2 linked regions of the Arabidopsis thaliana genome follow. The protein of the gene in region 2 interacts with the protein of the main gene of each other region in a pairwise test. Each region holds a gene or a part of one and is shown on either strand. Other genes may lie near its edges. The genes, in order: AT2G33710 and AT4G37180.

Region 1 (7,725 bases), on a different chromosome or scaffold from region 2:
GAGCTAAGGGAACGTAGATATATAAATAATTTAGTAGCCACCTTTGCCTTAACTTTTTCAGGTATTTTCCTGTTTAAAAAAGGAAATCCATTTGTTATAGAAAAAAGGAAAATGATTTATGTGAAAACTGAATATTACCTTTGTAGTTATTTTTATTCTGCGTTTGAACTATGAAGCTGTTAATTTTCCATTTCTTAGGGTTTGGGTTTCCTATGAAGATGAGTGTGCGTCTTAGACTTTTGGTGCCAACTATCTCTATTTGCGTGAATCAATGTTCAGATTTAATATGGTTTGTGTTATCATAAGAATTTTATTTCAATATAGATGGTCATTACTATGACAAGAGATATTCAACCTACATGGGCTAGCGAAGCCCACAACATAGCCCAATACAGCTAGTTTTCTTTTTAAAATGCAGTCATGCAGATATGTGTTCAATAAGTTCTGTTTTGTTTTAATGTGAACAAAGAGGGAGGATCGGAGCTTTTTCAACTTATAAGATTTTAAGTTGAATTTGTGAATTAATTGTGGTAAAGATCATTGCAAGAGTGATGAGGACCTACATGAGCATAGATCGTGTTCCGGACAAATCTGCCCGATTCAGAAATCAGAATCCTCATTGGTTAGGCGGACATATCACATATGTAAACGACTTTATCCATGACTAAGCTAGTGTAGGCGTGTAGCCACACAAAAAACTTAAGAATATTGTGGGGTTATTTTTGTAGTATTCATTACCATTTCCAAGAAGTATAGCTACCGATGATTTGTTCACTAGTATAGTGGCCGCTATTGTGTTGTCGTGGCCATGGATATTGACTTGGTAACTAATTTTGTAGCTGGTCACAACATAAAGTTTTGTAACAATTCATATACGTAACATGAATTGTCTCATAAACATACAATACCAATAGAGACTGTGGAAATGCCACCCTCACAAACTGTATATACAGATATGAACTGTTCTATAACTTGCTACATAAAGTACTAGTAAACCAATTGAACCCAAGCACAAGTTACTCCAAAACAATATACAAGTTACTCCGTAACTCAATCTCAGCAAGACGACATTTGCGCAGCTTCTCAAGACTGATGCAACCGTGTGGCTCCACTAAAGCTCTTTTATTGAATCTCATAAAATTCTCTTGTATATGTTCCCTTGTTTTTATACCTTTTTGGCAAAGTAGCAATTATATTTATAGGTCTAACTTCTTGTACGCCCCAACTTTCATTCCTTACTGATATTTACAATTTAGCAACAACAAAAAAAATAAACACAAACAAATATCGATCAAAGCGTTCTGACTAGATCATGTGGTTTAGATCAAAATTAAAGCACTATCGTAACTAAACATACGTAATTTATTATAGTATTACAATGTGTTCATCTAATTGAATAGATGGCATACTAAGTAAAAAAGATGAATGCAACAATCAATGTATATACATAATTCAATAAATACTTAATTAAAAGATATAAATACAAATATAACACTAGGTCAAAGTTGGCCAATAAGAATAATTCTTTTGTGGCAATCATATAGACTACGGCATGGTCTTATGCTATTGGTGTGAGATTGGAGTTGATTTGTTCGTGCGAAGTTTGCTCTGACTATAATATTCAATGTTGACCACATATTATGTAAGCCCATACGTCATCTAGGTCTTTAAATCAATATCTTATATGACACACTTTTAGATTCCCCATTCGGTCAAATGTTTTATTAATTTAGAAAGTAAGTTTATATTGTTTCAGGTTATGTTTTTGTTTGTTAAATATTGTGCTTTTTCTTCAACCACAAGTTTATATGATTGAAAAATAATTCATCAACATCATGCATGTAATGACAATATTTTTTTTGTTTTTGTGTTTCTGATAAGGCGCAATGACAATATTCAACCCCATAAAAAAATCCCTCAACCATTTTTAAAATGGCACGAATCGTCCAAATTGCTTATAATAGAAATATTAGATTAGAATCCACAGTCAGATCCCACATATTATTATTAAAGAGATTCATCGCATATTCCATTCCAGTTGTTTTATGATGACTTGTGCAGAGTGTATTCCGTAAAACTATATATGTAGCGAATAGAAACAGAGTTTGTCCTTTAATTTTGAATATTCATCCTAATTAACCATGAACTTTTATATATTACATAAAACAATTTAAAAACACACTCAACTGTATTGGATGACATAAGCGACTTTTAATTAGCAAAAATATTATGCTATTTTATTTATGTGATTTATACAGTACGTTGTTTATTAAAATAAAATGATTGTGCAAAACACATATGTATCTATATATATATATATATATATATATATAAAGACATTAAAGTCAAATGATAGAAAATACATTATTTACCTAAATAATTGGTGTTTACATGTTTATATATATTAAAGTGTTTCTTTGATTATATGTTTGTCATTTGCTCATTTACCTAAATAATTAGATATTCATCATGGTCATTTAGGTAAATTAATTTTTTGGTGAGTCATTTAGGTAAATTATTAACCCTTTAATGTTCAGGATGAAAATAATTATTTAAATCCACCACATATATAATAAATAATTAATTTTAACTTAAAATGTTGACCGTAATTAACACAAGACTTGGATCATAATTAATGAATTTTGTATAAGACAGTCGTTTTTTTTTTCGTCTTTTGAGACACGCAATCGATTTTGGGTTAACACAAACCATTAATACAACTACATAGTGGGTCGGTCGATGCAGTCCGTAATGTAACGTTTGTTAAGGAAAATTAAAGAGATGAATACAAAGAATTGTTTTTAAGGAACAAAAAAGTGTGTGTAATGTTTATGACCAAAATATCCTCTAGGTTAGACAAACTCTCTATAATATTGGTCAACAAATACATGCGTGTGCGTCTATATATAACATAGATGCAGAGAATAGACATCTTTGCTGGTTCTTTGGCTTGTACCCAAACCCATCTTTGACTTCAAAAATAAAATAAAAATAATCATAATTGACATCATCGGATAATGCATAGCGGGAAGAGACCTCTATCACCAGAATCAATGGCCGGAAATAGAGAAGAGAAAAAAGAGTTGTGTTGTTGCTCAACTTTGTCGGAATCTGATGTGTCTGATTTTGTCTCTGAACTCACTGGTCAACCCATCCCATCATCCATTGATGATCAATCTTCGTCGCTTACTCTTCAAGGTAATTTCATCAGATCCTTTTTCCAATAATTTTAATTGCTATACTTTATAACTCGAGTGATTGTCTTTTCCATTGGTGATTCTCTTTACACATAGGAATGATTTAATCTTGGATTTTGCAATTGGTAATCCTTTAGTGGCTGCAGCATGGCCTTGATCAAATAGAGATATAATTTCATGTATGGCCACAATGCATTAGTTCAATTTACTATATGATTTTTTTAATGAATGTTCATGGTTAGATTTTCTTGAAAAAACCTGTCGGCTTTATTGGTTGGACAAAATTGATCATATTTGGCTTTCGGACAAATATGATTGGCAAGGCTTGGTTGCAATGGTCGTATTTTGGTTGAGATAACTAGCCAGAGAGAGTTTTAGGATTGTAACATGGGGAAAACGTATTTAAAATGATCAAACTTAATTTATATCCTAATTATATCATTGGTGTGATACATAAGTATATATATAGTTAATTACCAATTACGAGAGAGAGGAATGTATAAATGTAGGTTTGGCCTAATATATAGATTTCATAAGTAGATGTAGAAGAGGGGAATAAAAGTTGATGTAGAATGATCATATCATATGATTCAAACGCCCTTTAATAATCTTTACGAAATGCCTCTACACCGATAGTATACGTTATATTCATAGACATGCACGTCACATTTAAGTCACCATTTTCATGACAAGAGTGAACTTACAATTTTCATCATTTTTCTACAGAAAAAAGTAACTCGAGGCAACGAAACTACAGAGGCGTGAGGCAAAGACCGTGGGGAAAATGGGCGGCTGAGATTCGTGACCCGAACAAGGCAGCTCGTGTGTGGCTTGGGACGTTCGACACTGCAGAAGAAGCCGCCTTAGCGTATGATAAAGCTGCATTTGAGTTTAGAGGTCACAAGGCCAAGCTTAACTTCCCCGAGCATATTCGTGTCAACCCTACTCAACTCTATCCATCGCCCGCTACTTCCCATGATCGCATTATCGTGACACCACCTAGTCCACCTCCACCAATTGCTCCTGACATACTTCTTGATCAATATGGCCACTTTCAATCTCGAAGTAGTGATTCCAGTGCCAACTTGTCCATGAATATGCTGTCTTCTTCGTCTTCATCTTTGAATCATCAAGGGCTAAGACCAAATTTGGAGGATGGTGAAAACGTGAAGAACATTAGTATCCACAAACGACGAAAATAACATGTTAATGGCATAAATATCTCTTCGTCCAAGTTATCAAACGCATTGACCTCCGGCTTTGATCATTTTAGGCGCTTAATCTCTTTACGACTTCATTTTGGTAGTCTTTAAAGAGTCTATGGAGTGGATTTAGCTAGGAATCAGGCCTTATGGATGAAAAATATATAAATTTTGAACATGACTATGCAAGAATGGGATGAAGACTACTTAGCTTGGAAAACGTCCTGATAGGTCATGACGACTATATCCACAGAAGATGACCGACGGAGACAACAACATGCCTCACCTGATCGACCGATCAAATGAGATAATGTGTTGACCGGACCGGTCGGATCAGGTTGGGTCGAGTATATCAGGTAGAAAAAAGCTCGTACATGGTGCTTTATGTCTTTCCACTCCGAAGTAGCTTGCTAGTTTATCCTTTTGTATCACGTACGAAAGAGATAAAAAAAAAAGTTCAAAAACAAATATAGAGGGTATACACATGATGAGGGTGTTCGAGTTTCCAAAACATAAGCTAAATTTTTTTAAATATGTACTTACATTTATATCTGTCTTATTATCCAATGCTCATATATTTTTCAACGCGTTGAATGATGAAATGGTTGGTAAATAAAAATGAAACTAAACTAGGTAACAGTCTGCATATGAAACGATTAAAAAACGATTCAAGTAAAATTATTATAAATAAATTATTATATAGGATACACATATCGACTGCTAGTGTATAAAACAAAACATGTAGTAAAAGTTTTTTTGTTCTATTCAAATTTGCGATTATTTCATATAAGTGTATCTTTCACCAGTTAAATAACTGAATGGAGAAAAAGGTTCAACATTATGAAAAATTATTCATGAAAATTATTATCTGTGAAAATATGTTTTATGTTTTTAAAAATCAAATTCACATCTTGTGTGTTTTATTGAGTAATCAGAACCATTTAACCTGTTTTTTGCAAAAAAAAAAAAAAATCACGTAATTTGATGGACAAATCCACAAAGAATCGCGATCACAAAATTAAAATCAGAACTAATATGCCTCTTAGATGATTACATGTGGACACTATCAAATCTACACTATTTATGTTAAATGCTATGTATCATCAAAACATAATAATTTACGTATAGATTCATTAAACAATAATAGTATATGATATCATAAATTGCTATTGTTTTATATAGTGTTTCTCAATTAATCATAATAAATAATATAGGTATGAAATCTAAACATTTTAATACCAAAATCATTTGTATGTATTGACCTCATAAAAGAGGATAAAAACTATCCTAATATATTAAACCCAATTTAGAACACAAATTACCATCATAACTCACAAATCACAACAAACAAAATACAAAAAGAAAAAAGAAAGAAAAAATATAGAGATGAACTCAAAGAAAACAGGCTTCTTTTAATCTTGTTCCTTGTATCACCCTTCTGTGAGTTCTTCACTCATACAAATATATTATAATTCATTTACTCATATATCAGTGTGTTAATATGTATAACAATGAAACACACACATATATAATTTATATTTATGTTCTAATGACTATAACATATAGGTGATACCCTGATTTTTAATGGATTTTTAAAAGTAAAAGAACGAATACTATTTAATGTTGATTCAATATCAAGTGCTATTTGCTGTGGTGTAAAATATGAAAATTTTAGATTCATTTTTTTCAAATGAATTAATTTATCTAGGAATTTTCAATTTGTTAGTTTCTTTATTGTGAGCTTAAAGATTTCTTAAAAACAGTAATCAAGTAATCAACACAAACAAAAATTGCGGTTTTAGTTTCAGATCAGAATCAATTGAATTGGCAAAGCAGCCATATTTTTTTATTGGATTATAAATCGATTTTTGGTTTTTAGGATATATAAAACTAATGTTAACAAAAAAATTGTACGGTTTTTCATATCAGTTTGTTATGCTTAACTAGGCGGTTCAAATACATTTGGTTTATCCAAATTGAACACTTACAACTTTTTAAAAATTATTATCTAGTATTGTTTTCTTTTGGATAATCTATTTGAAGGTATGACGATGACAGAAAGCAAAAGATGTCACAAAGACTCAGATTGCAAAAACAAAGTACCATGTGCAATTCCTGTTGCCTGTCTATATGGCGGTTGCGTTTGTACATTAAAGCAGTCTTTCTCTGCTTGTAAACTTATGTGTGCACAGCAGGGAAAAAACACTATAAACCGTTTTGATTCTGATCATTGTGTTTGCGGCGTTAAGTAAGAAAACAAACATGTTGTAATATAACAAGAGAATTTGCAAAACTTGAATAAAAAGTATAATTTAAATTTGTTTACTTTTCTTTTATAATAACAATTCTTTCTATTCAGAATCAAACAAAAGCTACAAAGAATAATTGTAAAGCAGCGCATTACAAAAGTCTTTACACTAGAGGATGAAAATAAGTAGTATTGTTTACTACCCAAGAAAAGATGAACATTGTATTGTATAGTAACAATCTAATTAAGGTTGCTATGGAAACTTTATATATCTGTATCTTTATGTTTGTACTGTATATCTTCCTTTTGTATACATGCAGATTTTTGCTTTAAATAAGTTATACCGTGTTGGCAATGGTCTATTTAGTTCATCTACAATCTCGAAAACTACATTCTTTAGCCCAATTGTAATGTGGTTTTCACCAATGGATAAATGAATAACATAGAGCTCACCAAAGACACAATTTCCAAAGTCGCTTATCGCTCATGATGAAAAGAAGAGTAACCTTAAAACTTATAACACCATGGTTCACAAGATATTGCATGAACCAATAAGAAAAGATGAATACCATACGTACCAAGAAAAAAAAATATAGTAATCAAATAAGATAACGACTGTGCTAATCCTAAATACTTGCCATAAGCTTCAGATCCTTGGACGTCTAAATTTGCATGGAAGACGATATGATAAAGAGCAGTTCAGTGAAATATCGACTGCGGAATGTGGAATCCCATAGCTTTGATACGCAACGAAATCTCGCTATAGACTTTGCCGACAATTTCAAGAGTATCTCCAATACGAGATCGTATGGGATCTGTTCCAAGTTTACTCCTTCATTCATCGGATTCGAACAAGCTCGTGTCTTCATCATGGTAGAGACGCTTCTCTTAAACACTAAAGTCTCTTTTGTTTTCCATTTGCTAAATTGAAACAGAGATCTAAGTGTTTCTTTAAATATAATGAATATATAGGGGTTAATGTGAACTGTCCTAATAGTATGAGGGCCTAAATGCAAATAATAAAATTCTGATAAATTTTTTAATGAAAGGAATTTGGTGGAACAAGTTAAAAATTATT
Region 2 (7,745 bases):
TGGAGTCCTTACGGAATATAGCAATACAGGTACATTCGTGTACTCATCTGCCATGTTTTCAAGGAAATCCGCTGCTACAGCGGAAAATCCTCCCGAATCATCCACTAGGAACTTAATACCCTGTAATCATCATTAACGTATACTATTTGTTAGAAAGTAAAAGAAGTTTGAAAAGAAAAGGTAAAAATGTCTCAAGCTTAACCTGAATATGATCACACTCTTCCACGAAAAAACGGAGTCTGTCACATATTTCCTCTCCACGTGAAGCCTCAGAGAAAACGTCTTTACCAATTCCATAATTGTTAAAAGCCTGAGAGTCCATCCATAATCCGTTCAATTCATATAAACTTTGAGGATGATAATGGGATTTAGAGAAGTCAGTCCAACATTCAACTTCCTCATCTAAGCATCCAACAATATCTTTGTCCTCAATCTCTTTCGCCTTTTCTTTCCCCACTACATGTTCTTCCTCGTACAAACTTTGCAGAAACAAGTTCCTCTTTCGAGGTTCAGATCTCTGAGTATCAACATCTCCAAACCTACAAGACACAAAATTAAAGATAAGATCACATTATTCACATCACCTGAATTGAAGAACAAGCTATTACTCTAAAATCAAGTTTTATATGCACTAAGATTGAATTAACCTAAAAACCATAAAAACTTAGCAAATCTGACCAGGTTGCTGAAGAATCTGATCTTGATGAAGAACCTTCGTTGTAAAGTGTACCGCGTGAGCTCATGGTCCCTAGTGCCCCTGAAAGACGAAACAGTTTCAGATGTAAACATATAAACCACCATTATATATCAAATCCAGAATCTTCTAATCGAAAGATAAAGCTAAGATTATTACCTTTTAAGTTGACTGAAACCAAACGAGGAGTGTATGTAGCAACCCCCTGTATAAATTTCCGCCACACAAATGTTGAGATTTGCAAAAACAAGTGAGATTGATCAAAGTCAACGAAATATCAATCATCTCTCACCTGCTGGGTCTCACCGGAGCGGTAGAGAACATCCATGTCGAGATTATGGTTTCTAAAGATTGGATCGCTTTCAGGGTCACTAGCCAATCCGAGCAATTCATCCTACATTTCAAGTAAAAGTTCTCAACTTTAGCAAACCCAATCGATTTATAGCAAAAAAGACAAACACTTTTGTAATGAAAAACAGAGACAGACAAAACCCAGAATCCATTGTTAAAAGAATCGGAGCAGAGAGTTCAACAGGAGGTTTTGCTTCTCTAACCTGGAAATTCCAAAAGTGAGAGCCAACAAAGTTTGCGAATTCTCCAACTTGAATCGTCACAATTTCTCTCATGGTTGTTTGATTGGAGACTTGAAAGAAACTAAGCAAAAGGTCGGTTCTTAGCTCACAGCGTAAGAGACTAAGAGCTCCGGTGATTGCTTAAACCCTCGTCGAGCCTAGATTTGTAAAAGAGTTTGAGAATGTTGATGAAGACGGAGAGGCGGCCCCGTGAGGCCCAGAGACCACAAAACCACATAAATTGACTCGAAATAACCGGGTGAATAAACCGGTTGGGTTTAGAAACTGAATCGACCGAACCAATTTGAACAAATATTCCATTGCCGCTTAAATGTCTTTAGTATATACACTCATTAATTGTGAAAAGCAGAGAGTAACTATTTGAATTTTTGAATAAAAATAACAAATTTGAAGAAAATTATGTCAAAAGATAAATATCTACCCTATACTATTGGCTAATGTATGTTACATGGTGCAAGAAGCTTTATCCACAAAACATGCAAATCTCGTGGAAGTAAACTATTCATCAAATCACTAATCAGTGAGTAGATTTTTTCTATATACATTGTCAATTCCTTCAATAGTGAAAATAAATCTTGTCGTTTTTCAGACGAAAAATCTTATCTTTTCGTACGATTTTATGCAATAAAAGATTCTTATTTTTTTTCCCCTTACTTATTCTCTCAGATTACGTAGATTTGTAGAAAACGATGAGTTACAGAAAGAGACAAAGATTGTGATGTTTCTTCATCCTCTGTTTTCGAAGGTAAAAGGTAATTAGTATGACGAGCTGGTAAAACTAAACAAATGACTCCTTCATTCACATGGTTGAGACTGTAATAAGTATAAAAACAAAATCTTTGATATATGAGTTTATCTTACTTATGAAGTAAAAAAAAAAAAAAAAAAAAAACACAGAGGATTTCGAACACTCTTCTCTATCTATTTCCTCTTGCAAAAACAAACCCTACTTTTTGCTCAAAATCCTCTTCCTTATTTCAACTCTCATGTTTACATCTACAAAAACTCCCGAACAAACTCAAAGTTTTGAGCATATATAACATAAGTTGGTAAAGATTATATCATTCACTATGCAGACTTTCAAAGCTCAAGATCCAACACTTGTCTCTTCTTCTTTGTTTCATCATTTCTACAGCTACTACGTCCATCAGACTTCTCCTCCTCTTCATCCTCCTCCTCCTCATCTTCCTCTGAGCTATGACCAACATTACTACTGAACAACCCTCTTGCAACAAGTGGGCTTTGTGGCGAATCCGACCTCGACAAACTTATTAAGCTCTGCGATTCTCTCTCTAACACACCTGGCTGATCCGACGATGACAAAGTCTTTGTCGGATGCAGCGGATGCTTACGGATATGCATTCTATATTTCTGCAATAACAATTTCATTTCACCGCACTGTCAAAATCATTCATTCATCCACACATCAAAGTTTAAGTTACTGTAAAAGATGAGAACTTTTACTTGTAAATGGCTCTTGACTTCATCATTGGTTAAACCATCAACTTTCATCAAATCTCTAATCTGCTTTGGTGTAGCAACTGTCTCACAACAACAACAACAACAACAACAACAACAATACAAAACAATCTCAGTATAATCAATCAATCAAATCTAAAGCAAAGTTTGATCCTTTACTAAGGTTAAGGACTAACCTTGTGGCCCTCCAAGCCTATGAAGAGCATCAACAAATTTACGGTGAAGTTCCTGTGACCATCTCCTTCTCTGCTCTTTCTTCTGAATGTGATGACTCTGTGAAGAAGGTTTATTGAATTGATGATGATGATGACTCTGCTCAATTCTGCTATAATCCATCATCATCTCTGATGTTGGAGTCATGAGAGACAGAGGAGCTGGTGGTGGAGGAGGTGGGGGACGGTTAAATGGCATAAATACCCCTCCTTGATTAGGGTAATTACATGTCTGAAATGGGTTCTGACTCACACACCGATCTTCTTCTTCTTCATTTGTCTGTCAAAACATGATCATAAGGTCAACAAGATCAATCACACAACATATGATTCTTCACAAAACATAAAAAGGGTTGCTTTTTGATCGTACCGATCGGAATTGGGAATTAGGGTTCGAGATCCATAACTGGGCAGAGCTCATCCAGCTCTTCTTATCAGTTTCCGGTTTTGCCCTTTCAACATCATCGAATTTCCCATTAGATGCCATCAGTGATAACCCTTTTCTAGCCTCATCCTTCAACGCCCCAATCGCTACACAGAGAAAAACAATCTCTTTAAACAAAAACACGAATCGATTAGAGAAGATAAAAAAAAGAAAAGGAGAGAATTTTAATAAAAGATACCTTCGTTCAATAAGAGCATGCATAAAGGGAGTTCTCGTTTAAAAACATCGATTTTGTTCCTTTCTTCCTCTAATTTTCCGACATAACCATCGATTTCAGACAGTTTGGAATGATTGTCTTTGATCCTCGACACTTCATCGAGAAATTGAGATAAGGGTTTTGGTAAAGAGTAGATAGACAAATTCAGATTAAGACCCATCCTTTGATCGGTTTCTGTTTGAACCATCGGACAAGATAAAGACAAAGAGAAGCAAGCTTAAAGAGGTATATATAGAAGAAGATGATGAAGATGCTGAAGAAGATAAATGAGAACAAAAAAAAAATGAGATTAGGGAAGAAGAAGAAGGACGCGGTGAACCGTAGCCGCTGTAAATAAGTGGAGACTTGAGGGTGTTTTTGTCAATATTAAAATTAGATTTATCTTTAAATGGAAGAAAGAATCTTTTTGTGATGCCCGTACACACGCGGCGAATCGTTACACTCACTTATATATATTTATTCTTCTCTTTTTTTATATTTTTCTTTAAGGATTTTTTTCCTTTTAATTCGGCTATTAATTATATTACAATTTTCAGTTTTGGGAAACTTGTTATTTATTTTGTTTTTAGTGCTCTTCTCATTCAAGATTCTCATATTCCTGTTATCCTGTATTTAATATTTTCCCAAATTAGTCTTAAAAAGAGGATTCTGAAGAATCTATAATATTTTACAAACACTATTTTCTGCATATGGAGTGGTTCAGGCTGTGAAATATCCCACTAAAATATTTATTAAAGATAATATAAAAAGAATCTGTTGAAAGACTAAAAATAAAATAAAGCAACTCAATTATTGGATAAAAAATTAAAAATAAGGAATTAACAAAATCAAACTATAACTAAGAAAGATCAAATTTATTTGTACAAAATTAACAATTTTCTACTTTTTTAAAGAAAAATCAAATTTTATTTTCCTACTTTAACAATTAAAAGTAGATAAGTTACACTTTTTTGGAGTAAAAAATTACGTTTGAAATAAAGAAGATTTAGACTACAACAAATATTGACTTTTTATAACCTAAATGTTATGAGCTTGAAAGTTATACATTTATAGTCAACATGATATGAGATTAAATGTTGAATATAAAAAAGGTATGTACCACATAGTACATGTAGCACATCGTCAGAAATAACTTTGCTAGACCAACAATACCGAATGGGCATAACCGTGTATGGCCTATGGGCTATGGATTCATGTATTTGTTATTGTATCTCAAACACAGAGCTATACTGAAATCTCGGTTTCATGGAATTCGAACCACTCGTTTAAAAACCGATAAAACATTCAAACTATACAATCGGGTTTAATTAAACGATGTTCTTAGATAGGCAAAACCACATGTACGTTTATGCAAGTAGTACGATACATAAATTCGTACTTCAGTTTGTACTACTATCATATAACTAGACTAAATTAGTAGAGCCGTATAAATAATTAATCTTTACTAGTATAGGACATATTCGCTTTAGTTTATCTTTTCGAATAGAAAAATTATACTAAATTTTGCTAAATTTTACTAAAAAATTATACTAAACATTTTACCCGGAAAAAAATTATACTAAATTTTGCTAACACAAGCTACTAGCTGTATTAGAAATCGACACATACGTATGTGATTTTAAAAGAGTGAAGTGGTCAAAAGATCTCTTTGTCTTTTCTTTATTTTTACCACACGCAACGTCCATTTACATTCACGGTGAGCATTAGTTTCAAGAAATCACGTAACCTTTGTGTTTATAAGTGCCCTTTTCATGGTTTAGTTGGTTTTGGTTATCGTATTATGAATATTTTTGTTCATTTCAGTGTTGATATTCTTTTCAAGAAACTAGGTTGATCATTCTTATGTAGCACCATTATTTCTTGCAAATTATTCCACTACTCATCCATTTTTTTTACTAATCAAAACTTATATCGTTCAAAAGGTGAATTATACTTAATATTATTATATGAAATAAAACTCAAGAATTCTCTAGCAAAATGAGAAAAAAGGATCTTTCGCATAATCCAATGTAAAAGATCCCAGTACGCAAAGCTACTTTATTCCATGCTTTTTCCTGCTAGCCAAATACAAATTTCTTTCAATTTTAAAATAGCATTCAATTTTTTCAAAATAACATTTGATTCCTCTAACAAAAAGATATTCCGAAACACAGTAGCATGTAAAATGCCTAGGACCTATAAACAATAAAGACCACAAGGAATCTAACGGACGGACCAAAAGAAACGGCTCACTGTTAGCCAACTATACCAGGACACGTGTCCAACTAATCCAGATTCTTTATCATGAGAATCGTTTTTTTCTTTCAAGGAGGAACTGAAACGTCTCGACTTTGTTTGTAATAAAGACGTCGAGATTTTGATGCCGTTGATTGATTAGATTCTCGATCGTGGGTTCGCGACACGTGTCCCTAACTTTTTTTGTATTATTGTTCTTAACAAACGATGGCTTTTGCTCTGTCTAGCTAATTTGAGGATAAGGTTCTTCTTCGTTTCTATCTGCCAGAATCCAATGATGTCTTTGGTTAATCTAAGTAAGAATCCCATGGGTTGATTATTTGGTTTTCGTTTCAGTCATATAATTTCGAAATTTTAGAATTTTATAATATTTGTCATCAATAATAGAATTTTACTAGATTTTAATCTGCGGCGTACTGCGGAACAATTTATTTTTAAAGTTAGTATATATAAATATTTGTAAATTGTATCTATTTATAAAATATTTTTATTTTATAATTTACAGTTGTTATTAAATAACGTTATGCCAAACTCTTCATGCCAAACCCGTCTCGTAAAAAAACCCATTGATTTTATTAATGTTGATCTTATTTATGATATGTTTACGAATCATTGTCTAAATATTTTAGTCGATGCGGGACGTTGAACCCACACATTTTTTGCCAATTGGTTAATATATGTTTATTTTTAAAATTTCGAATCACAAAATATAAGGGAAAAAATTTGAATTTTTTTTAAACTCTATATATTATATAATGATGTTAAAAAATTGTGACATATTAAACTTTTTATAAGTTTAAATATTGATAATGTTTTATTAAGTTTAAATATATAAATAATTATATTTAAAAAGTTAATATTTGTTACCTTTAAGGTAATGACACAATAAATCTAAAAGTAAGGATTTAGAAGATTTAGAAGATTTAGATCTTTAATTAAATATTTTCATTCCTAAATAATTAATGTCAGTAACATGACATTGTAAATAAGTTCAAATACATGATTTATTTATTTAAACAAAAACTTTTAGTAAGAATAATATTTATTTAAACAAAAAATTTTGTTTTAAATATTGTTAACAAATATGTTTATGCTAATTTTAAGGGATTGATGTGAAGTTTGTTTGGATTAAATTTGATTGATAATGTGATTGACAATTTAAATTAAGAATGTAAAGTAAAATTAATTAGTTTGGAAAAAAGATTTAATGCTAATGGCATTGAGTTGTAAATAAGTTCAAGTCTAGGATTTATTTGCTAAAATAGCTCCAAAAATATATATGTAGATAGTTCAACTTTTACTTGAAAATGAGTCACTTATATTTCAACAGAAATTTCGAACTAAACTCTTGGATCAATTTTTTTGAAAAAACCAATCAAAATTGTGAATGATTATCTATACATATATATTCTAATCGAATAATGTATCTGTAGATATTTATTGGTGATTTGGCAAACAATGGATGTTTATAGTTTCAAAGATTCTTTCATTCTCTACAACTAAAAGGTTGAATGTTTGGATGGTCTTAGTTTTATCTTGTAAAAAGATGAATAATGAAATAAGATGCTGTTTTCTAGTGACAAACAAGGAACAAAGCGTGATTCCATTTTAAAATAAAATAATGATTCAGCAAAAAATTAAATATAATGTTGGGTACGACAAAAACAAAATCTATATAATGTTGGATTTATATTTCTCTTAATGAGAGATAGAACAACAAATCCGATGTCGTCCAGCGGTTAGGATATCTGGCTTTCACCCAGGAGACCCGGGTTCGATTCCCGGCATCGGAGCTTTTTTGTTTTTACTTTTGATTTTTTACAAAGATTGTGGAACCTTCGAAGTCAGGTAGAGGGTTTCTTAAGAGTAA

Evidence for each region.
Region 1: the proteins of AT4G37180 (region 2) and AT2G33710 interact in binary tests that used the Arabidopsis thaliana proteins (3 or more experiments, as listed by UniProt).

What each region holds. Positions count from the first base shown.
Region 1 is NC_003071.7:14,255,945-14,263,669, reverse strand, and holds AT2G33710 (Integrase-type DNA-binding superfamily protein), read left to right. Parts: upstream 1-2,930; 5' UTR 2,931-3,017; coding exon 3,018-3,198; intron 3,199-3,923; coding exon 3,924-4,363; coding exon of another isoform or gene 4,364-4,399; exon of another isoform or gene 4,400-4,630; coding exon 4,631-4,705; 3' UTR 4,706-4,861; downstream 4,862-7,725. Other genes in the region: AT2G33705 (F-box family protein), read right to left, coding at 7,310-7,519.
Region 2 is NC_003075.7:17,500,730-17,508,474, reverse strand, and holds AT4G37180 (Homeodomain-like superfamily protein), read right to left. Parts: upstream 3,912-7,745; 5' UTR 3,828-3,911; coding exon 3,602-3,827; intron 3,531-3,601; coding exon 3,349-3,530; intron 3,259-3,348; coding exon 2,943-3,258; intron 2,829-2,942; coding exon 2,752-2,828; coding exon of another isoform or gene 2,695-2,751; exon of another isoform or gene 2,659-2,694; coding exon 2,368-2,658; 3' UTR 1,971-2,367; downstream 1-1,970. Other genes in the region: AT4G37190 (plasma membrane, autoregulation-binding site, misato segment II, myosin-like, tubulin/FtsZ protein), read right to left, coding at 1-120, 203-539, 679-757, 854-899, 987-1,088, 1,249-1,320.